Oryctolagus cuniculus: one gene and its partners. The protein of the gene in region 2 purifies or fractionates together with the protein of the main gene of each other region. This does not show direct contact. Links are inferred from orthologs where the notes say so. Each region holds a gene or a part of one and is shown on either strand. Other genes may lie near its edges.

The links. Proteins that work in one complex are often made in the same cells at the same time.
Region 1: the proteins of EXOSC4 (region 2) and MPHOSPH6 purify together in Homo sapiens (affinity purification with mass spectrometry; 7 studies listed by BioGRID and IntAct, with this or other methods). This does not show direct contact. The link is inferred for Oryctolagus cuniculus from reciprocal best matches to the Homo sapiens genes EXOSC4 and MPHOSPH6.
Region 3: the proteins of EXOSC4 (region 2) and HBS1L purify together in Homo sapiens (affinity purification with mass spectrometry; 3 studies listed by BioGRID and IntAct, with this or other methods). This does not show direct contact. The link is inferred for Oryctolagus cuniculus from reciprocal best matches to the Homo sapiens genes EXOSC4 and HBS1L.

Annotation. Positions count from the first base shown.
Region 1 is NC_091449.1:64,153,441-64,160,764, forward strand, and holds part of MPHOSPH6 (M-phase phosphoprotein 6), read right to left. Parts: intron 5,532-7,324; coding exon 5,419-5,531; intron 1-5,418. UniProt on the Homo sapiens protein: RNA-binding protein that associates with the RNA exosome complex. Involved in the 3'-processing of the 7S pre-RNA to the mature 5.8S rRNA and play a role in recruiting the RNA exosome complex to pre-rRNA; this function may include C1D.
Region 2 is NC_091437.1:167,907,952-167,914,916, forward strand, and holds EXOSC4 (exosome complex component RRP41), read left to right. Parts: upstream 1-2,513; 5' UTR 2,514-2,588; coding exon 2,589-2,759; intron 2,760-3,155; coding exon 3,156-3,362; intron 3,363-3,445; coding exon 3,446-3,805; 3' UTR 3,806-4,003; downstream 4,004-6,965. Other genes in the region: GPAA1 (glycosylphosphatidylinositol anchor attachment 1 protein), read left to right, coding at 4,433-4,713, 4,793-4,972, 5,050-5,161, 5,347-5,494, 5,582-5,683, 5,756-5,952, 6,026-6,222, 6,304-6,457 and 2 more. UniProt on the Homo sapiens protein: Non-catalytic component of the RNA exosome complex which has 3'->5' exoribonuclease activity and participates in a multitude of cellular RNA processing and degradation events.
Region 3 is NC_091436.1:33,926,505-33,933,828, reverse strand, and holds part of HBS1L (HBS1-like protein), read right to left. Parts: intron 5,184-7,324; coding exon 4,927-5,183; intron 4,483-4,926; coding exon 4,317-4,482; intron 2,022-4,316; coding exon 1,904-2,021; intron 1-1,903. UniProt on the Homo sapiens protein: GTPase component of the Pelota-HBS1L complex, a complex that recognizes stalled ribosomes and triggers the No-Go Decay (NGD) pathway.

The DNA of each region.
Region 1 (7,324 bases), on a different chromosome or scaffold from region 2:
ACAATAAAAAATTAGACATGCAAGGAAGCAGGAAAACGCAACCCCATACACAGAAGAAAGACAAATGCTTGAATTAGCAGAAGGGACTTTACAGCGATTTTATAGACATGCTCAAGAATTTAAACAAGGGGCCAGAGTTGTGGCATAGAGGGTTAAACTGCCACCTGTAAGACCAGCATCCTATATGGGTGCCGGTTTGAGTCTTGGTTGCCCCACTTCCAATCCAGCTCTCTGCTAATGTGCCTGGGAAAAGCAGTGGAAGATGGCCCAAGTATCTGGGCTCCTGCCACCCATATGGGAGACCAGGTGAAGAACCTGGCTCAGCCTGGCTCTGTTGTGGGAACTTGGGGAGTGAAGCAGCAGATGGAAACTCTTTCTCTCCCTCTTTCTCTGTAACTGACTTACAAATAGATAAATCTTAAAAAAAAAAAAATTAAATGAAAATATGAAAGTAATCATGAAACAGGACATATGGAGACTACAAAAAAAAGGGTAGATATTCTGAAAAATAAGAAACAATATCTTAAGAGAAAAACAATAGTCCAATATCTATCAAAGAACCTGAATTCATTATTAAAAATTTTTCCAGGCTGGCACTGTGGCACAGAGCATTTATGGGCACCAATTCGTGTCTCAGCTGCTCCTTTTGCAATCCAGCTCTCTGCTGTGGCCTAGGAAAGCAGTGGAAGATGGCCCACGTGCTTGGGCCCCTGCACCCTGTGGGAGACCTGGGAGAAGTTCCTGCCTCCTGGCTTTGGATCAGCACAGCTCTGGCTGTTGCAGCCATTTGGGGAGTGAACCAGTGGATGGAAGACCTCTCTCTCTTTCTGTCTCTCCTTCTCTCTGTGCAACTCTTTCAAATAAATCTTTAAAAAAAATTACCTAAGTGGTCCAACATAACCTTGGTATAGCCAAAAGTTCAGTAGGTAGGAATCAGAAAGAATCTACCATGAAGGGCAAAAAATTAATGGAAGAAATCTACAAAAACCACTACGCATCAAAAAAACAACAATAAGAAAATAAATATGCAAGTCACTGACTCAGAGAAAAAGTTTACAGTACATATATCTGGCAAAAGACTTATATGCAGAATATAAACAAATGCTATATACAGAAAAATGTTTTTATCCCCCCAAAAAACCAAAAGAAAGCCCTACATAAGTAATGAATTTTGATTAATGATGTGCATGTTGAAGTGTTTAGGGATAAAATGTATTGATGTTCTTGTGAAATGCACAAGAAATACAGTGGCTTGATAGAAGTACGAATACAGAAGGGCAGACAAATAATGTGCTGTACAACACCAGAAAACGTAAAAAAAAAAAAAAAAAAACTCTCAATTTTTAAAATGGCCAGAACATTTGAAAAGGTACTTTACAAAAGTAGACAGAAAATGCAAATCAAAAACCATGAGATGCCAGTAGAACGGGTAAAATTTAAAAGGTACACAGTACCAAATGGGACTGTAAACTTCCAGATGGCACATGCTCCCGCAGTTCAAGGGTCCAGTGTTACAACCACTTTGGAAACTGGTCATGGACTTAAATATATGCCAACCTCATTACTCGGCAGGCACCATTCACTTAAGAGAAATGAAAATGTGTACCAAAAAAACCCAAAATAAAACAAAAATTGAATATGAAAGTTTATAATAGCTTCACCCACAACAGGCAAGCACTAGGAACAAACCAATGTCCATAAACAGGCGAATGCAACAATATTCTTTGGTTAACCTCTAAACCAAAACAGCAATTGAGAGGCCTGAGTTGTGGTACAGCGAGGTAAGCTTATGCTGGTACCCTATACAAGTGCCGGTTCCAGTTCCGGCTCCTCCACTTCCAATCCACTGTGTTGACATGTGCAGAGTGCAAAGTCAACTATGGGTAAATTAAATCTCAACACAAATTAGAACAGTAGTAATCCCAGATTGCATCTGTAGTCTTATTCTTTGTCACTAAGCTCTCACAGATTAAAAAAAAAAAAAAAAAAAAAAGCCAGCTCACATAAAATGTTCTTGATGAAGTAGTAAAAATTTAACTTTATTAATCTCAGTCTTTGATTGCTTAAAAAAAAAAAATATGTACAGAACACAAAGATTGGATTCTTTGGAAACAGATCCCGAGACAGAGTTGTACATGGACAAGTTTATCAGGGGGTTCTGTTCAGGAGAGGCCCCTCCACAGAGGTGGGGCTGGCAGATCAGGGAGAGGGAGACATGGACCTGCACTGTGGCTACCGAGGTCGCGGCCACCTACAAGAAGCTCTTAGAGTTAGGAAATCCCGTCAGCTGTTCCAAGTGGAGGCAAAGATACTTAACTCTCATTCCCTCCCACAGCCCAGCCACCACCTAAACGTGTTCCATGTTAGGAGGTGTTAACACTGAATAAGCCCCATGGTCATTACTGAATTACAGTCTGATACAGCTAATATTTTAAAAGGAAACTTCTAGGGGCAGCTGTCTGGACCACTGGTTCAATCACTACTGATGGAGAAGTCTGCATCCCACACCCCCAGATTGGGGTGCCTGGGTGTAAGCCCTGGCTCTGCTCAGGACTCCAGCTTTCTGCTAATTTGCATTCTGGAGGTAGCAGCGAATGAAGTTGAGTCCCTACCACTCACATGGGAGACCTGAACTGAATTCTGGTCTTGACTTACAGGCCTACCTGGCCTGTATCAGGCATTTGAGTAAACCACTGGATGATGGAAGGTCTCTGTCTCTCTGCCACTCAAATAAAAATAAAAATAAAAATAAAAATAAAAATAAAAATAAGGAAACCTCTAGATTTGGGGACACATAATCCTACAGATCAAGTTTCTAATTACACAGATAGCAGTAACCCTTTGGAACAGTTCAGATAAGCACAAAGCAGTGGGTGAGTTCCATATACTGAAGCACAGCCATGTACCAAACAGTTTCAGCTGATGCATGCATGTAGACATTGACCCCATAAGATTATACTGCTCAGTGACACCATGGATCTCTTCGTCTTTGGAAGTATATTCTATATATAATGTTATATATATATATTCTATATATATAATAATAATTAATATATATATAATATATATATTCTATATATAATGTTCAAGCTGCAAAATGGTCTAACGATGCATTTCTTGGAACGCATCCCCACTGTTAAGTGACACACGACTATTAGCGCCAACACTGATTGTGCCTTACACCTGGCATTGTGGTGACCGCTTTATGTACATTTTCTCATTTGCTTTCCACAAGGTATGTATCAGATACTATTATCGTGCCCCAAAGTGACAAAAGACAGGTTAAAGAACTCATCCAAGGTGAAAAGCAAGTGGCAGAACAGGGCATCAAACCCAGGTCTGCCTGCCTAGGGAGCCTAACTCATTCCGCTGTCTCTCTACATGGGAGTAAAACACAAGAACACACACATACGCCAAGGACAGAGGACCCATTTGCTCCTGCAGGTCTACCTCCCACCCTCTCCCCATGCTGGAGGTCCTGGGAGGGTGACTTGAAGGTAGCATACTGAGTGACTCCTTTGCCACTGGGTACCTGACTCCCTTCCTGCAGGATTCATTACATGGGGCTGGCTGTGCCCTTGAGTGAAGGTAGTAACTCTTGCAAGATGCTCTCTCCACACAGCCTGTTTCCAGATTTAGTAGTCACCTCCTCCTGGGCTGGAGAGGAATTATTTCCACTAGCCAAGACACAAGGTACCGCTCTGTTCCTAGGGGTGCTCCTACCTGCCTACAACTCGTTAAGCTGTGAAGCTCTCCTTACCTTTTCCTGCCAACATCCTGAGCTAACATACACACCTATACATAAACAGGATGCTGAGTGTTGGCAAGAAGTTACTATTTGCTTTTCCAGAAAAGGAGTCTAAAGGTCATTTTCTAGGAAGAACATGCTGTATTGCGGGATAGAAAATACTGGTAAGTCAGAAACAGTCCTGCCCTTCAATAAACAGCTGGAATACTTGCTGTGATATTGGTCCAGGCACAAAATTAAATTATGGCTCCTTACTAGTAATGGCTCCTTGCTCCTCCCTGACCTTCAATGCCTTCTATCTCTGACAGGTTCTGCTTCCCCCGAACAGCAAGCGGAGGAAACCAGGCACTTTCCTTCCATCCCTCCTGGTGGGACCTATTTTCTGTCTTCCCAAAAAGGCCCAGAGAAGGTTGGCCCGATGAAGAAGGGAATGTAACAGAACAAAAACCAGTTACAGAAAGGAAAGACGGGCCAGTGCCGTGACGCAGTAGGTTAATCCTCTGCCTGAGGTGCTGGCATCCCATATGGGTGCCGGTTGTAGTCCTGGCTGCTCCTCTTCCAATCCAGCTCTCTGCTGTGGCCTGGGAAAGCAGTAGAAGACGGCCCAAGTGCTTGGGCCCCTGCACCCACGTGGGAGACCGGGAAGAGGCTCCTGGCTTCACTCAGCACAACTCAGGCCATTGTGGCCATTTGGGGAGTGAACCAACGGACAGAAGACCTTTCTCTATGTCTCTCCCTCTCACTGTCTGTAACTCTACCTCTCAAATAAATAAATAAAATCTTAAAAAAAAAAAAAAAAAAAAGGAAAGACAAACATGCCTGAGGATAACAGCAGCGTCATCAGCGATCTGACAAAAACTGATGTAAAACAACCCCATAGTTCCTCCATGCCAGTTAAGAAAAGTTCCAAGGAGAAATGATAAACAGCTCCGTAAGTTTTCGAATGAATTAATGGATGATGTGAATGCATCACTCTTTCCTTTACAACCGTTTATAAGGACAAGCCGTCTAGAAGTGCAAGGCACAGCTGAGTGAGTTATGCCAGCCTCAGCACTGAGCAGCCGAGGGATGGGTAAAGTCAAGACCTCTTCAGCTTCAGTTTCTTCTGCCAGACAATGTGCGGCACGGAGGGAGGCAGCTCGTAGGTTTCCTGTGAGCACTCAGTAATCAAGGGATGCAATGTGCTTAGCCTACTTCCTGGCACGCTCAATAGCCTAAGAAACTTACCTGAGTGGTAAGAAAAGTATCTACAGTTAGAAAAAGAAGACACCATTCCCAACAGTCTTAAAAGTTCGGCCTTGTGAGGAGTTCTCACTGAAACAACACTGCTGGTCTGAAGCACACACCCAACTTTTGGAATTTAATGAGAGAAAGAATATTCTAGCTACTTCAAAAGGTCCTCTGTTATCAGAGGTAAGGGCTATGTTCCTCCATTCAGTATTTTTAAAAGGGGATAATGGCAGGGAATCAGTAAAAACTTATAAACCACTTAGAACTTTTCTAAGTTTAATATTTATTTATTTTTTTTAGAAAACTACTTAAAAGGCTGACTCAAGAAACTGAAGAGAACCTATTTTATGGGCTTTCTGTCACAGGAGTGACGAGTCACATGACAAGGATTTCCCTCTGAATGTCCCAAGAATCATCAATATATATCCAAATAAACCTACTCTTTCTCTTTCAGCTCTGGCAAATCCAAGTACCAGTGTTCTTCACTAATGATCTTCTTCTCTTCCTCTTCGAGCTGCTTCTTGGTTTCCGAGTCCAATCCCCTTTGCATGAACTGTAAAAGCAAAACAGAATCGGTGTCAGCACTCTCACTCCCCTTGTGTAACTGCTAGTTAGGCTGGACCTGGTATACAACAAGGGTTCAATAAAGGGTCTCTGAGTATAAATGAGTCTGCATGTCTTATTTTTCCAGATTATCTTTATTGGATCATTCTCTTCATAATGCAGAGGCCTCATTTTATCACTCATACCTTGGTGGTCAAACTCATCAATCCTGACCAACTGACCTTTGATCTCCCATTATGATCAAGTAGCTGTTTTTTATGATACATTCTGTAGATCTGGAAATGACAGAACACCCTGTGAATATGAATCAAGCTTCTCCCAAACTCTCCTAACCCCCCAGCATCTGAGAACACACGGCAAAGCCAGTGGTCTAGCCTCCACTCAGAACTGAGGCCCACAGCAGGCTGGATGTGTGCTGCAAATATAGTTTTCCTGTAACATAGCCATGCTCATTTGGCCTAGTTCACAAGCTTAAAAACATTTACTATCTGACCCTTCACAGACAAAGTTCAGGGCCAGCGCTATGGCGTAAGGCATAAAGCCACCACCTGCGGTGCCAGCATCCCATATAAGTGCCAGTTTGAGTTCTGGCTGCTCCACTTCTGGTCCAGCTCTCTGCTGTGGCCTGGGAAAGCAGAAGATGGCCCAAGTCCTTGGGTCCCTGCACCCGTGTAGGAGACCCAGAAGAAGCTCTTGGCTCCCGGCTTTGAATCGGCCCAGCTTTGGCTGTCGTAGCCATTTGGGGAGTGAACCAGCAGATGGAAGACTTTTCTCTCTCTGCCTCTCAAATAAATCTTAAGAAACAAACAAACAAAGAAGTTCACCAAGTCCTGTCCTAAGACTCCAAAAGAGTTAAAATTGCAAATACACATCCTCTCTACAATCACTGGGTCCTACTAGTGACTTTCCACCTGTATCCTTCTTTTTCTACTTCCCACCAAGAGCTTCCTCCTCCAACAGTTAACTCAATCAAAAGAGTTAAAGAACACTGAAAACAAATGAGTCAGTGCTCTCATACTTGCCCTCTACTTGGCTCTAGCTGAACAGTTACGGCAGCTATAATCATATCCGGGGCACAGATGCCCCATGCCTTCACGCAGGACACTCCACTCCATCGGCATGTTTAGTGTCTCCTGCCATCCTATCAATAAGCTCTTTCTTACCAATGACCAAAGCTGCTAACCCCAAATAGAGAATGTGGATAATTTTTTTGCCCTCTCCTCTGCTCCTACATCCAGTTAAGTCTTCCTCTTCCCTTCTGCTTGGATGGGGGTAGTAACTGTTTTAAGTTCATTTCCTTCTTGTTAACTGCAGAGTCAGCTCTTCAGACACAGCCCTAGTTCACCAGCACATCTTCACTTGGCCTATTACAAGAACTAAATGAAACACTAAAATCTTTTCAATGTGTGCTCAATCAACTCACTCCATTTCTCTGAAATCGACGATTACAAACCACCAACAAAAGAAAAGTCTATTCAGTCAAGACTCACATGTTGCTCACATGTATGAGACAACTTTACCAGCTGTAAGTTACGCAACAATTTGACTCCATCCAGTACTCATCCTGGTACATCCTGAACGCCAGTCACACCTTGCACAAGCGCTGTTTACTCTCCATTACTGATGCCTTGTTTTTCCTGGACATTCCAGCACTATATAGGCACGACATCTAACAGTCTGCATCCAGAAGTAGTGACAGGCAGCAAAGGGTAGTACTTAAGATCAGGGGTTCAGGACCTGGATGCCCAAGTTAGTACTCAGTCACTGTGTAACTGCGGTAAG
Region 2 (6,965 bases):
GTTCCAAGGCAGAGCCGGGCTTCACGCAAGATCAAACAGCAAACCGACAGTGCCGTCTGGTGACGTGCCTTCATGTTCAAACCATGCCGCACTGACTTCTAACCTGCCGGAAGTGCCCTGCCACTCTGCGGGACACGCGTGGCCAGTAACTTCCTCCGGCGATAGGAACAGCACGACTCTGCCTCCTCGGCTGTTTCACCTGACGAGTGACGCGAGTCAGAATCCGGCTCCAGCTCCCTGCAGTGGCGGAGACGCTCAGCCCCGTCCTTGCCCTTCTTTTAGGGTGTATCTACATGAAAGGCAGAGTTACAGGCGGGGAGAGTCTTCCACCCACTGGTTCACTCCCAGACGGCTGCAATGGCCAGGGCTCCGTCCCCCACACGCAGGAGCAGGGTGGCCAATCGGCAGCACCTCGGGCTACTCCCGCCTCACACCCCGGGGCCTCTGACCCTCACTCCAGCTGCAGGGCACACACATGGGTGCGTGCACGTCCGGGGCTGTGTTGTAGACGTCAAAGGCCGCCCCTGGATTCCGCGATTGGCTAGAAGAACACAGCGCTCAGCGTGGAGCTGTGCTCACAGCCAAGATTCATTCCGGAGAAAGGAAATGAGTTAAAGTCGGTGAAGGGAAAGGTTCACGGGATGAAGCAGGCATCCTCTCAGGACCAGGGTCCTGGTCCAGCGGGCTCACACGGGACACGGCCATCTCCCGGCAACAAGCGGGGACAGCGACCGTGCAGTGTGTCTACAGGGAAGCCGGCTGGAGCCTCCGTGCCCAGGCTGTGCATGGCCAGCTGGCACACAGGCACCTTGTGAGGCCTGGAAGGAAAGCAGCCGTTCCTCACAAGCCGAATGTTTGACAAACAGCCCAGTGAGCACTGGGAACCCTGAGGGCCGGGTTCCCAGACGCCAGTGCACTTTGCAGACCTGTCTTCTAAAGAGCGGGCCTGCTGGGCTAGCAGTTCTGCACAGGACCCTAGTCAGGCCCCCACCCGCAGTGCCTGCATCACGCACCGATGCTGGTTCACATCCCGGCTGCCCCACTCTGATCCAGCTCCCTGCTGTGGCCTGGGAAGGCAGCAGCAGATGGCCCAAGTGCTTAGGCCCCAGCACCCACGTGGGAGGGCTGGAGGAAGCCCCTGGCTACCACTCACCCACTTTGGTCGCTTAGGCTGAAGACTGGCACTTCCTGGTTACTCTGAGTCGTGAAGCTGGGGCTGCAGCGGTGGCAGGGACCCAGGGGACCGCAGGCTCCTCAGTATTTTCACCTCACCCAGTCAAGACAGGGAGGAGGACAGCAGAGGTCAGGCCGACACTCCAGCCCAGTGAGGACGGGACAGTGAGCTCAGGCCACCGAGGCAAGGGGCTGCGGCTGCTCTTCTAGCAGACAGCTTCGTCCAGCAGCAGGGTAGAGCGTGGGGGACCCAGAGTGGTCAGTGGCAGAGGACCAGCCCTCACGGCCGCGGCCACAGCCACTACGGAGAAGACGCTGCAAGCGCTGCACCTGGACCCTGGACCAGCCTGTCTGCATCGCCACGCCGTCCAGGGCAGCTGCGCTTTGTCCCTTCCCCTTAAGCCTGGGCCATGCGGTACGGCAGAGGCAACGCGGACTTCTGGGGCTGAGTCATGAAGTCGCCACACACGCGGCGCTGCCTTGGGAGCCGCCACCAAGCCGAGGGAAAGCCCAGGCTGCTTGGGGAAGCCAGGCAGGTGTGCGCCGACGGCCTGCAGCTAACAGCAGCGGCCACGGGGAGGAAGCATTCAAGACGGCGCCAGCCACCACTGAGCGCCAACTGTGGACTGTGCGAAGCTACCCAGGGACTTCCGCTCTGTGACAGCGTGCAGGTCCCGCAGCAAGAACCAAGCATGCACCAACCGCCTTCTGGAAGGGTGCGGGCATCTGCACCCTCAAAGGGGACGCGGGCACTGTGGGAGCTGGGCGTACGGGAGGCAAGAGCCCGGGAGCACGGGACCGGCGCCCGCGTCTCCTCTCCTCTCCGGCGCGCCTCTTTCCACCTGCAGACTGCGGTGGGATGCGGCCCAGCGGAGGCAGGTGCTGGCCGCACAGGTCCGGGCCCCTTCCCACGGACACGGTCAGTTCCCAGGCTCGGTGGGAAAGCAGCAGAGCTCGCGCTGCCCTGCTTGCGGCCTTCGCCCCGAAGCCCCTGCCCTCGGGGTGCGCTCTCCGCGGCCACCACGCAGCCCTGCAGGACCACGCGAAGGGATTCCGCGCTGTTTTGTGCAACACAAAAAGGTGCGTACGAGGGAACAGGCTCAGCGCCCCCAGAGCCGCGGGGTGACAAGCGCCTGAGGGAGTCACAACTCCGCGGATACGACCGTATCGTACGAGGTCGCGCCCAGCTTTTAAACTCAACAAAAGTTAGAACGGCAAGGAACCGAGAGAACGGAGCCCCGCCAGCTCCGGCGGCCGCGGCAGGCCGCCCGGGACCGCGGCGCCGGAAGTGACGCCACACCGCGCGGAGCCGCGGGCCTCAGGGACCGGAAGTGCGGCCTGGCCGCCGGAAGTGCCGGGGCTGATGGGAGGTGTAGTTCTCCGGCCGGCCGAGCGCGGAGCGGGCGGCCGCGAGCATGGCGGGCCTGGAGCTCTTGTCGGACCAGGGCTACCGGGTGGACGGACGGCGCGCCGGGGAGCTGCGCAAGATCCAGGCGCGGATGGGGGTGTTCGCGCAGGCCGACGGCTCGGCCTACATCGAGCAGGGCAACACCAAGGCGCTGGCGGTGGTGTACGGGCCGCACGAGGCGAGTGAGCGGGCGGCGGCGGCGGCGCGCCCTCGGAGCGAACGCCCACCGGCCGCCGTGCGGCGCTTCGCGTGCCGGGCGCTCTCGCTCCCTTACCTCGACGGCCCGGCCCGCGGCAGTCCACACGCGCTGCCTGTCGGCGCGAGCAGTGGGCGGACTGGGGTGGGGAGAGCCGGGCACCCGTCCGCCGTGAGGCTTTCCCAGGGTTTGGGGTTTCACTCCCCGCGCAGTGGGGAGGCGGGGGTTGAGGTGCAGCTCCCACAGAACCCGCGTAGCCCCGGGGAGTGGGTTAGGGACGCGCGCCCGAGGCGACTGGCGGCGCTGGGCGAGCAGCCGCTGCGGACTAGGGCGGGGGCCGGGGGCCTGGGCCTGGCTCACGAGGCGCCCCTCTTCCAGATCCGGGGCTCCCGCTCGCGCGCGCTGCCCGACCGGGCCCTGGTGAACTGCCAGTACAGCTCGGCGACGTTCAGCACAGCCGAGCGCAAGCGCCGGCCGCACGGGGACCGCAAGTCCTGTGAGCTGGGCCTGCAGCTGCGCCAGACCTTCGAGGCGGCCATCCTCACCCAGCTGCACCCACGCTCCCAGATCGACATCTACGTGCAGGTGAGCTGGCCGCAGCCCCGCACGCGGAGGGAGGGGCTGCGGGGCGTGGGGCGGCCGCCTGACGCCCCTCGGGGGCCCTGCAGGTGCTGCAGGCGGACGGGGGCACCTACGCGGCCTGTGTGAACGCGGCCACGCTGGCAGTGCTGGACGCCGGGATACCCATGCGGGACTTCGTGTGCGCCTGCTCGGCCGGCTTTGTGGACGGCACAGCGCTGACGGACCTCAGCCACGTGGAGGAGGCGTCGGGCAGCCCCCAGCTGGCTCTGGCCCTGCTGCCGGCCTCCGGCCAGATCGCGCTGCTGGAGATGGACGCTCGCCTGCACGAAGACCACCTGGAGCAGGTGCTGGAGGCGGCTGCGCAGGCTGCGCGCGGCGTGCACACCCTGCTGGACCGCGTCGTGCGGCAGCACGTGCGCGAGGCCTCCATCCTGCTGGGGGACTGAACAGCGGCCGCCGGGCCCGTGCGGACCTCTCCCACGCGTGACCTGCTCCGGAGTCGCACCTGGAGGGCCGGTGCGGTGCGCGCAGGCGGCGGGAGGCGGCTGTGGGCGCTGTGGGCTGCACTGAGCAGCCCCTTCCCCCAGGAGACCCTGGGCCGTTCTGTCCCTTACCTTGAGCTCTAAAAGTACCACAACCTCGTGCACTTGCCTGCATTATTCTCCCCTGCTCGGCCCCTGCCTCCCCGCCCACCACTGCGCCCCCGTCACCCGCCCGAGCCCTGCAGCAGGGAACCAGGAGCTGCGTCTCCCGGACCACCTCGGGGACCCCCTGGCCTGGACAGGGGCAGCGCGCTCCCTACCGGCGACCTCGGTGCAGGGCACCCACGGCGAGGATTCCCCGTCCCGGCCTCCCTCTCCAAGCCCTTCATCCCCGTCGGCTGCTCGCTGCCGCCCTGCGCTTCACCTCCGTCTCCTGCCAGCCGTCCAGCTGATGCTTCCTCGCCGCCCCTGACCGGTCTGGCCCGTTCGTGCACGGTCTGGCCGAACTGGAAGCTGCCTCCCTTGCCTGGGCCCACCCCCAGTCAGCTGAGCCCGAGCCCCGCGGCCTTCCGGCGAGTCGCCGCTCAGAGCATGCGCAGTGGGCCTCCTGCGACCCTTCTGGCCTGGGCATGCGCAGGGGCCTCCCCGCCTTCTGGTCTGGGCATGCGCGGCGGCGCGAGGCCCTCTGGGACCGGAAGTGCGAGCGAGCGCGAAGCCCCGGGTCTGACAGGAGCCGCGCGCCGCGTCGGTGCCCGTACTGGTGGCGGGAGAGGGGTCGTGGGCCCGCGCCGCCCAGCCATGGGCCTCCTGTCGGACCCGGTCCGCCGGCGCGCGCTCGCCCGCCTCGTGCTGCGCCTGAACGCGCCGCTGTGGTAAGCGCGGGGCCGCGGGGCGGGGGCCCGGGCCGCGCGGCCCCGCGGACGCTGAGGCGGCCCCTCTGCCCCGTCGCAGCGTGCTGAGCTACGTGGCCGGCATCGCCTGGTTCCTGGCGCTGGCTTTCCCGCCGCTGACCCAGCGCACGTACATGTCCGAGAACGCCATGGGCTCCACCATGGTGGAGGAGCAGTTCGCGGGGGGGGACCGCGCCCGGAACTTCGCGCGCGACTTCGCCGCCCACCGCAGGAAGTCGGGGTGAGCGGCGGAGCGGGGGTCTGGGAGGGCCGAGGCCGAGGCCGGGCGCCGTGCTCACAGAGGCTCTGTGTCTCCAGGGCCCTGCCGGTGGCCTGGCTGGAGCGGACCATGCGGTCAGTAGGGCTGGAGGTCTACACGCAGAGTTTCTCCCGGAAACTGCCTTTCCCAGATGAGACTCACGAGCGCTATGTATTGGGGGAGGGGGTGTGGCTGGGGCCGAAAAGCATCTTGGGGTGGCATAGGGCGGGAGTCGCGTTGGGGGGTCCCGAGGCCAGGGGAGCCCCTGGGGAGCACGGCGTGGCCGGGCAGAGGGAGGGGCCCTGCACTGTACCGGGGTTCCCGGGCTGACGCTCCCCACCTGCCACTGTGTGCAGCTGGTGTCCGGTACCAACGTGTATGGCATCCTGCGAGGGCCCCGAGCCGCCAGCACCGAGTCCCTGGTGCTCACCGTGCCCTGTAGCTCCGACTCCACCAACAGCCAGGCTGTGGGGCTGCTGCTGGCACTTGCTGCCCACTTCCGTGGTGAGACTGGCTGTGGGGGTCGCTGCTGGCCTGGGACGGCTTGGTCGGTGCCCCAGCCCTGCTGCTGACCCTGCCTCTCACGTGCAGGGCAGATTTACTGGGCAAAAGATATCATCTTCCTGGTGACCGACCATGACCTTCTGGGCACGGAGGCCTGGCTCGAAGCCTACCACGACGTCAATGTCACTGGTAGGTGCCCTGCCCTGCCCTGGTCGCTGCCTCCACCAGCCCCTCGCTGGCGATCGCTCACTGTCCCTGCAGGCATCCAGTCGTCGCCCCTGCAGGGCCGGGCGGGGGCCATCCAGGCGGCCGTGGCCCTGGAGCTGAGCAGCGACGTCATCACGAGCCTCGACGTGACCGTGGAGGGACTCAACGGGCAGCTGCCGAACCTTGACCTGCTCAACCTCTTCCAGACCTTCTGCCAGAAAGGGGGGCTGCTGTGCACGCTGCAGGGCAAGGTGAGGCCCCGCCTGGGGCGCACAAGGCCTGCTGGGAGGAGGGCGCGCTGATCCTGCACCTGTTCCCCCGAAGCTGCAGCCCCAGGACTGGACATCGCTGGATGGGCCACTGCAGAGCCTGCAGACGCTGCTGCTCATGGTCCTGCGGCAGGCCTCCGGCCGCCCCCACGGCCCCCACGGCCTCTTCCTGCGCTACCGCGTGGAGGCCCTCACGCTGCGGGGCATCAACAGCTTTCGCCAGTACAAGTACGACCTGGTAGCGGTGGGCAAGTAAGTAGCTCTGGGCCCCTCTTCCCACGCCAGGGGGTGGCCCGGGGCCGGCCAGCTGTGACCCTGCCTCCCGTGCGGCAGGGCTCTGGAGGGCATGTTCCGAAAGCTCAACCACCTCCTGGAGCGGCTGCACCAGTCCTTCTTCTTCTACCTGCTGCCGGCGCTCTCGCGCTTCGTCTCCATCGGCCTCTACATGCCGGCCGCCGGCTTCCTGCTCCTGGTCCTCGGGCTCAAGATATCCTCCCCCGCCCCACTCGGGCTCTCCGCTTGGAGCCCCTCAGCCCCGGGGAGAATCCCTCATCCTGCTGGGGGGTGGTGGGGGGTGGTGCTGGGTCCTCCCGCAGACCGCGTCCTGGCAGAGTCCTTGACTGGCCACGCCCTGGAGCTGTGGATGCGGTTGCACGAGGCCGGAGCGGGCCCCGACGAGGCTCGGGGCGTGCCTGGGCCCAGCCTTGCCGCTCCCCCAGTGCAGGTGATGGCGCCCCCTCCTCTTCCGGGGAGGGCTTCTAGCGTCCTGCGCGGAGCCTGCCGCTGCCCCGCACCCCTATGTAGAAGGCTGGTGATGAGGGGTCTTGGGGCTCCCTGGTCCCAGGGCCCATCTCCAGAAGCCCGTGTGCCCTGCAGGGTGTGGGGCTGACCTCGCTCGTGGCACCTCTGCTGATCTCCCAGGCCATGGGGCTGGCCCTCTACGTCCTGCCGGTGCTGGGCCAGCACGTGGCTGCCCAGCACTTCCCAGTGGCCGA
Region 3 (7,324 bases), on a different chromosome or scaffold from region 2:
TACAACGAAGTAAAGGGAAACTAAAACTAAACTGTATCCTTTGGTAAATCCAAGTATACTAATTTAAAAATGAGAAAAATATATAAAATTTTATGAAGATTATATTAAACTAAATGCATAAAAAGTGTCTCATGAGTGTCTAGTCCATATTAGGTATTCAGTATAAGTGATTATACTTCAAACTTTTATCAAATTCAGTCCAGAATCTTAAGATTATATATCAACTTTCTAAAATGGAAACAAATAATTTCTCATTGATCTTCAAACATATCCATACTTATTCATACAGCATCCCTTTAGGTTGACAAGTGTTCATATGCATTCTCTTTTAAATGTTTATTTATTTTTCATCATCTGGTTCTCTCCCCAAATGCCTGCAAATAGACAAGGCTAGCCCAGAACTAAGCCAGGTGCCCAAAATTTCATCCAGTTTTCTCATGTGGGTGGCAAGGGCCCACATCTGCCACCTCTCAGAGTGCGTTAGCAGGAAGCAAGATCAGAAGCAGAATAGCCGAGACTCAAAGTGGGACTCAGAAAATAGGATGCAGATACCCCCATGCTGCAGGTTAACCACCACAGTGCCTGCCCTTAATATTCCCTTTCAATGAATGGAACTCTGAAAATAGTCAACTGCTTAAAGTCACATTTTTGCCACATGACAGAGCCCAATTTGTTAATTCTTCATGTTTTTCAATAATCATCCATTATGAAAGAAATCAATGCCATATGGTTATATTGCTATTTTCACTGCTTCTACTATTTAAATTTAAAGTTACTTATCTTTGGGTATTTTTTTTCCAGTATCCTTCATTTAAGAGTGATCTAAATTTAAAAACTGTAAGTTATAGTTATTCCTCAGCATCCTCAGGAAACTGGTTCTAGGATCCCTTCAGATACCAAGTTCAAGTCCCTTACATAAAATTGTGTAGTATTTGCATATCCTTCCATATACCCCAAGTCAGTCATCTATTTATAACTTACAATACCTAATACAATGAAAATGCCATGTAAAGAACTGTCATACCATATTGTTTAGGGAACAATAACAAGGAAAATCAATCTGCATGTCTTGGGTACAGATTTTTTTTTTTAATATTCTCCATGTGCATTGGTTGAATCCACAGGTAGGAGCCAAAAGAAACTGGGAGCCAATTGCATTTTTTAGTATAAACAAATAAACTACTTGGAGGGGGACCCTCAAACTTACTTATCTCTGCATAAATTAGTTTGAAAAACAGAAAGGCTGGGTGTTTTGTGCAGCAAATAAGATGAGGCTTGGAGCACACACACACCCCATATTGAGCGCCTGGGTTCGAGGGCCAGCTCTATATCCAATGCTAGTGTCCTGCTAATGTGCGTCATGGGAGGCTGCAGGTGATGGCTCAAGAAGTTGAGTCCCTGCCACCAACATGGGAGACTTGGATTGAGTCCCTGGATCCTGGCTGTGGTCTGGCCTCAGTCTAGATGTTATAAGCATTTGGGGAGTGAACCAGCAGATGGAAGATTTCTCTCTCTCTCTCCCTCTCCCTTTCTCCCTTTCAAATAAAAATAAGTAAGTAAAAGTGCTTTTAATTTAAAAATAGAAAACTGAGTATATATTGAGTAAAATAAGGCAGATTTGAAATACTAACTTCAATTTATTAAATAGAATACAAAGCTACACTTCATCAAGTACTTTTCCACTATTCTTACTATACAGAAATTATTAGCTTCTACACATTTCTTTGTTTATAAAGTACACATAGAGAAATCATGAAAGACACAATATTTCTTCCAAAATTTTTAAACTTAAAATTATTAATATTAAAATATTTTAGAAGTTAAAATCTCAGTTATAACCTCAGAATCAGGAATTTTTATGTACAGTCAAACAGTGCACCATCATTAAGGAAATACCTAGTACCTGGGCTGCTCCTGTAATCATATTGGGAATAAAATCCTTATGGCCTGGAGCATCCATTAATGTAATAACTTTGGTTGTGGTTTCAAACTTTGTCATACCAACATCCATCGTTACTCCCCTTAAACAAAACAAAACATTGTTAGAATGCACTATATAAAACAAGAGTTCTATGGATTAAATCATTAAACTATAGGCTGACAAGTAACAATGCGAATTTTATTACATAAATCATTATTTTGAATAATTAAAGTATCAATTAGGGCTGGAATTTCTGCTAAATACAATTATACTTCTATGGCATTAAAACAAGGTTGTGGATACAGCAAGAACTCAATCAAAAGGATTGTTATTTCCCATTTCCTTGCTTTTTTATGTTTTAGTAAGAAATAGTATGAAGTATAAATAAAGAAAAATATATGGGGACATCTCTAGTGGGGGGAAAATAAATACTGCACATGAGAAAAGACAACATGAAAACTCATCACTATCAACAGGTAATGTCCTTATGTTTCATGGTTATACCTCACCTATTTATACAAATAAACTTGTGAAATTCTCATTTGCAAGGTTAGTCAGTAAGTAATGCATTTAGAAAATATGGAGAATCCAAGGAGACCTAACTTTTTAAAAACTGAGAGAAATGAATGGCAGTTTACTTTGTGTGCCTTTCCATCTCCTCTGGAGACCAGACACAATGAACGCCTCTTTTCAGTCACAAGAATGTAGATTGAGATTATAGGGAAGCTGAGGGAAGGTCCACAAGGTCACTGAATCACTCTTGACCTCTGGAACTTAGAAGAGGAACTCGGGTGGGCAATCATCGTAGTACCCGCTGCATCATCCAAAGCAGTGGATGACAGCCCTCTCTTTCATTTTCACGAGTCCCAACGATTCTAATGAACTCAGGTCCCCCCTCAGAGTCAGGTGACTATGGTTTCCTCAGTCATGGCATCTGAGTTTAATCTGAAGTGATGGGCCAAAGTGAGGTATAGTTCTCCTTAATAATCTCCAAATAACCTATGGATCACGGCATTTCAGAATAGTGATGAACCATGACTAATCTATGTAATAAAGGGATATTCTAAAAATAGTATCATCCTGAGAAACCGAAGACTAGTAGCAGTAAAAGTACAACAGTCAGTAAGCAGCAACATCATCCAAAAAAGACCCCTAAAATGAGTGATGATTATAGGAATCAGATCATTAGCTAACTTGCCAGCTTAATTCACAAATTAATTAAATTCGACCAAATTATTTGCACTCAAATTATACTGTCTCCAATCTCTTATTTACTAGATGACACAAAGAAAACTAAAAGCCATATACTTTAACAATCTGCTTGTTGGGCTGACAAGCAGAAATTATGTATGCTTCTAATACTGATGTCATATACAATTCTACTGTTTACAAAAAACTGGCAGCTGTCCGGCTAATTTTTCTTACCAAGGTGGAAAACAGGTTCATGGTGCTATACAGAATTTATAAGACACTTACAAGGGGATAAAAACCTGCTATGATATAAAGTCCTACTTATTAGAAGAGCTAAGGAACATTGTGACCAGTTTTACCAATGATTACCTTATATATTATAATGCAGGTTATCCAAGACTATGAGAAAATAAACATATCCATGAAAAAAGTATAGAAATCTAAATATCTCTAATTATACTCAGATTGAGGAAATTGGGGGAATGCAATTTAATTTAGTCATCATTTTGAAACAGTTACACTTAATCACTAAGGTGCCCTTGGTTCTCCCACCGTTTACAGCCCTAAAATAATACATATCACTACTACAAGAAATATTGTACTTTAGCCAGAAGTATATGAGTGGCTGTATTCTCCTGCTAGAATTTCCACCTCTCCCCTCACCAAATTAGCATTGAACATAGTAACAAAGACAGAAGGGAGTAACTGACTGAATTATATCTCAGTGGCAGGTTATGGGTTTAATTACTTATTTAAAGTATAAAATAAGTAAGTGTGGTAATCTAGATATAATGGTCACTTTGATCCTGAAAGAAGAGAGTTCACTACTGTTGCCTTTCCTTTACAACCTATTATAAAATTAAGTCTTAACTCATAATTTAAATTCAATATCAAGGCAATCAGGCATAAAGGGAAGTAGTAACAGGATCTTCTCCCATAGAATAATTAGCTTAGGGTTTTTACTAATTAACTTCTATGTGTTTTTTGTTTTAGCTTTGATTTATTCTCATAGAATTTGGGAGAGTACAAAGAAGCTATTTATAATGAAAATTACAAGAAATACTTCTCTCTGATAATTAGAAGTTTCTCTCTGAATATAAAATCCCTAAAGTATTTCATGGCATGTTTCATATATTCAACACATATTACTAATTTAAAAAGACTATATCATTTCAAACTGAAAATTCTGAAATATAGTGACTACCTTTCTCTTTCTTCACCAGTCTCATCCAAGACCCATGCATACGCAAACGAAGCTTTGCCAGCCTTTTTAGACTCCTGTTCATACTTATGCATAGTTCTTTTGTTTACATTACCCAGGAGATAAAGCATATGGCCCATCAGAGTACTTTTCCCAGCATCAACATGACCTATGGAAAATTGATTCAAGATTAATACCAGGCACATTTCACAAGCTGTTCACACTGAGGCGTTGCATGACAGTGTAATTCAATAGTTCACTGCAGTGTTTATGGAGTATACTGAATACCAATTTTTAACAAACGACAGATAAAACATCTAAATGCGGGGTGGGGGGGGCATGTCCCTTTAGAGGGGGAGATTTCCCTCATTTTTATAAATTAAAATTTTCAATAAGACATGCCATTCTCAAAATGTGCACAACATGAAAATGCGGCAACAGGTCCACCAGCCTCCTTGGAAACGCGGCATCATTTCCGCAGGGTGACCAGGAAGCCATTATGATGCAACAGCTCCTTGCTTTCTGTCCATTACACCCACAGAGGAACACAGAGCTTCGGGGCTGCCCCACAAGGCAGTGAGGCTCGCGAACCTGGAGGCACAAAGGGCATTACCAATGACCACTAAGTTGAGGAGCTGCTTCCCTCCTTGCCGCTTCTCCAGTTCGGCTTTCACATCGATTTGCTGCCGCAGCCTGCCGGGCTTCTTCACCAGCGCCGCCGGGGAGCTCTGTTCTTCCGACACCTGCCCCGCGTGAGGCGCGGGAGCGGATTTCGCCGTGTGCTCCAGACCGCCACCAGAAGCAGCACTGCTGGTATCGTCACCTTTCTGAGGTGTGTGGAAACCATGACCATTCTCTTGGGAAGTTACTCTAAAGAAAGCAGTTAGGAAAACACTGTTTTAAGCCGACTCTACTTATGAGTCCTTTTTTTTCCATAACTCTTTACACCTCAAACCCAAATGCCTCTGCCAAGTGGTTAGAGTTTGCTAAAAGGGGGATGGCATAAGCTAGACCCAATCACACAAATACAAACTGGAAGATCCCAGATGAAAAAAATACTCTATCAAAGGAAAAAAAAAAAATCCTGTAAACTAACTAAACCTTAAAGTCCAAGCCTTGGTCATATAATCAATCCTATCAAAAAAGATGGCATAAAGGAGGTATAAAGGAGGTTTTTTTTTTATGGCACCACGTTACTGCAGATAAAATTAGCATTAAAAAAAGTTTTGCCCCTAATTTAAAATCTTTTTTGCTCAAATGCTAACTTTAAGGGAGATATCACTAAATGACTACAGTTTCTTAATATTTCTGTCAAAGGTATTTTAATTTATTAACTCAGTAAACTTGATTATTAAAAACTGTAACATATACTAGGCACATATATACTAACAAAAGGTATACAAATGAAAGATTTCACCACTACTCCCAAAAGCTTAGAACCTAGTGAGGAATTCAGATATATAGAGACAAGACAATCAGGCTTTTTTTATTCATTCCTTGACAATGCTGATACCTCTAAAAGTAAACTTTGATTTCAGTTCTCTATTAGCTCTTTGACTACTCCCCACAGAAAGCAGTCCCAGTGCTAACCCAGTGGGTTAAGAGCAGCCTGGAACACATACATCTCATGTGGGCGAGCTCAGGATCAAGTCCTGCCTGCACCTGCCACCCAGCTGCCTGCTAATGCATACCCGGGGAATCAGCGTGGTATGCTCCATTACTTGGGTCCCTGCCATGTGTGTAGGAGACCCTGACTGGGTTCTGGACTTCGGGCTTTGGCTAGACCCAGTCCAAGCTGTTGCCAGCATTTGGGGAATGAATCAGCAGATGGACGACCTCTTTCTGTCTCTGTGTTTCTCCCTCTCTCTGTGTCACTCTGCCTTTCAAGAAAATAAACAAGGGGCCGGCTCTGTGGTGCAGCGGGTTAATGCCCTGGCCTGAAGTGCCGGCATCCCATATGGGCTGCTCCACTTCCCATCCAGCTCTCTGCTGTGGCCTGGGAAGGCAGTAGAAGATGGCCCAAGTGCTTGGGCCCCTGCACCCAAGTGGGAGACCCGGAAGAAGCTCCTGGCTTCGGATTGGCACAGCTCCGGCCGTTGCAGCCAATTGGGGAGTGAACCAGTGGATGGAAGACATCTCTCTCTCTCTCTCTGCCTCTCCTTCTCTCTGTGTAACTCTGACTTTCAAATAAATAAATAAATCTTTTTTAAAAAATCATTTTTGAAAAAAGAATAAAGCCAATTATATCCAGCTCAACATGGGGCAAGCAAAGCAGTACACAGAGAAAACAGTATGTAAAAATCACTCAAGACTACATTTTCTTTTTTGTTCACAGTAAAAAAAGAACAGATTAGTTTTTCCCTCTTACAGCATTTTTTTATGCTTGAAATTAATCCTCTTCTTAAATCTTAGGAAAAGAGGCACATTAATTTTATTTGCAACTTCATTCTTATTTATTTTGTTTTTCCAAGTCTCCAATAACCAACTGAGGTATTCATTTTTTAGCACTGCATAAATAAATCAGCTTCACTTCAAACTACAAGGAAAAAAATTTTAATATGTGGAAAACATTCCTATACTTTTAAAGGGTTCCAATAGGCTGAATTGAGAAAAATCAAACTTCCACCTTTGATTATAATTTGCACATATTTCAACAACAGCTAGTTCTAAAAAATAAAGCATGACAACTATGTCTTCAGAATATTAAAAAACAGAAATACTACAAATTACAACAAAAGTAGTCTACCAGAATGGTAAGACATATGCTTGGGTTCCGATCAGACCTGGGAGAAATCACTCAGTCTCAGGCTTTAGTTCTTTGTGTTTTCGCTACAGACTTTTTTCCTTCATGGAACAGTTAAGACTCAATCTGAGACGGAACACAGACAGCAGCAGACCCAATACGTTGACAGAGGGACTTGAAGCTCAGCTCACCCTCCACTTCAGGCAGCCCTCAGAGGGGATATTTGGGATGGAAAGAGCTTCATAAACACAGATCTGACTGGATCATT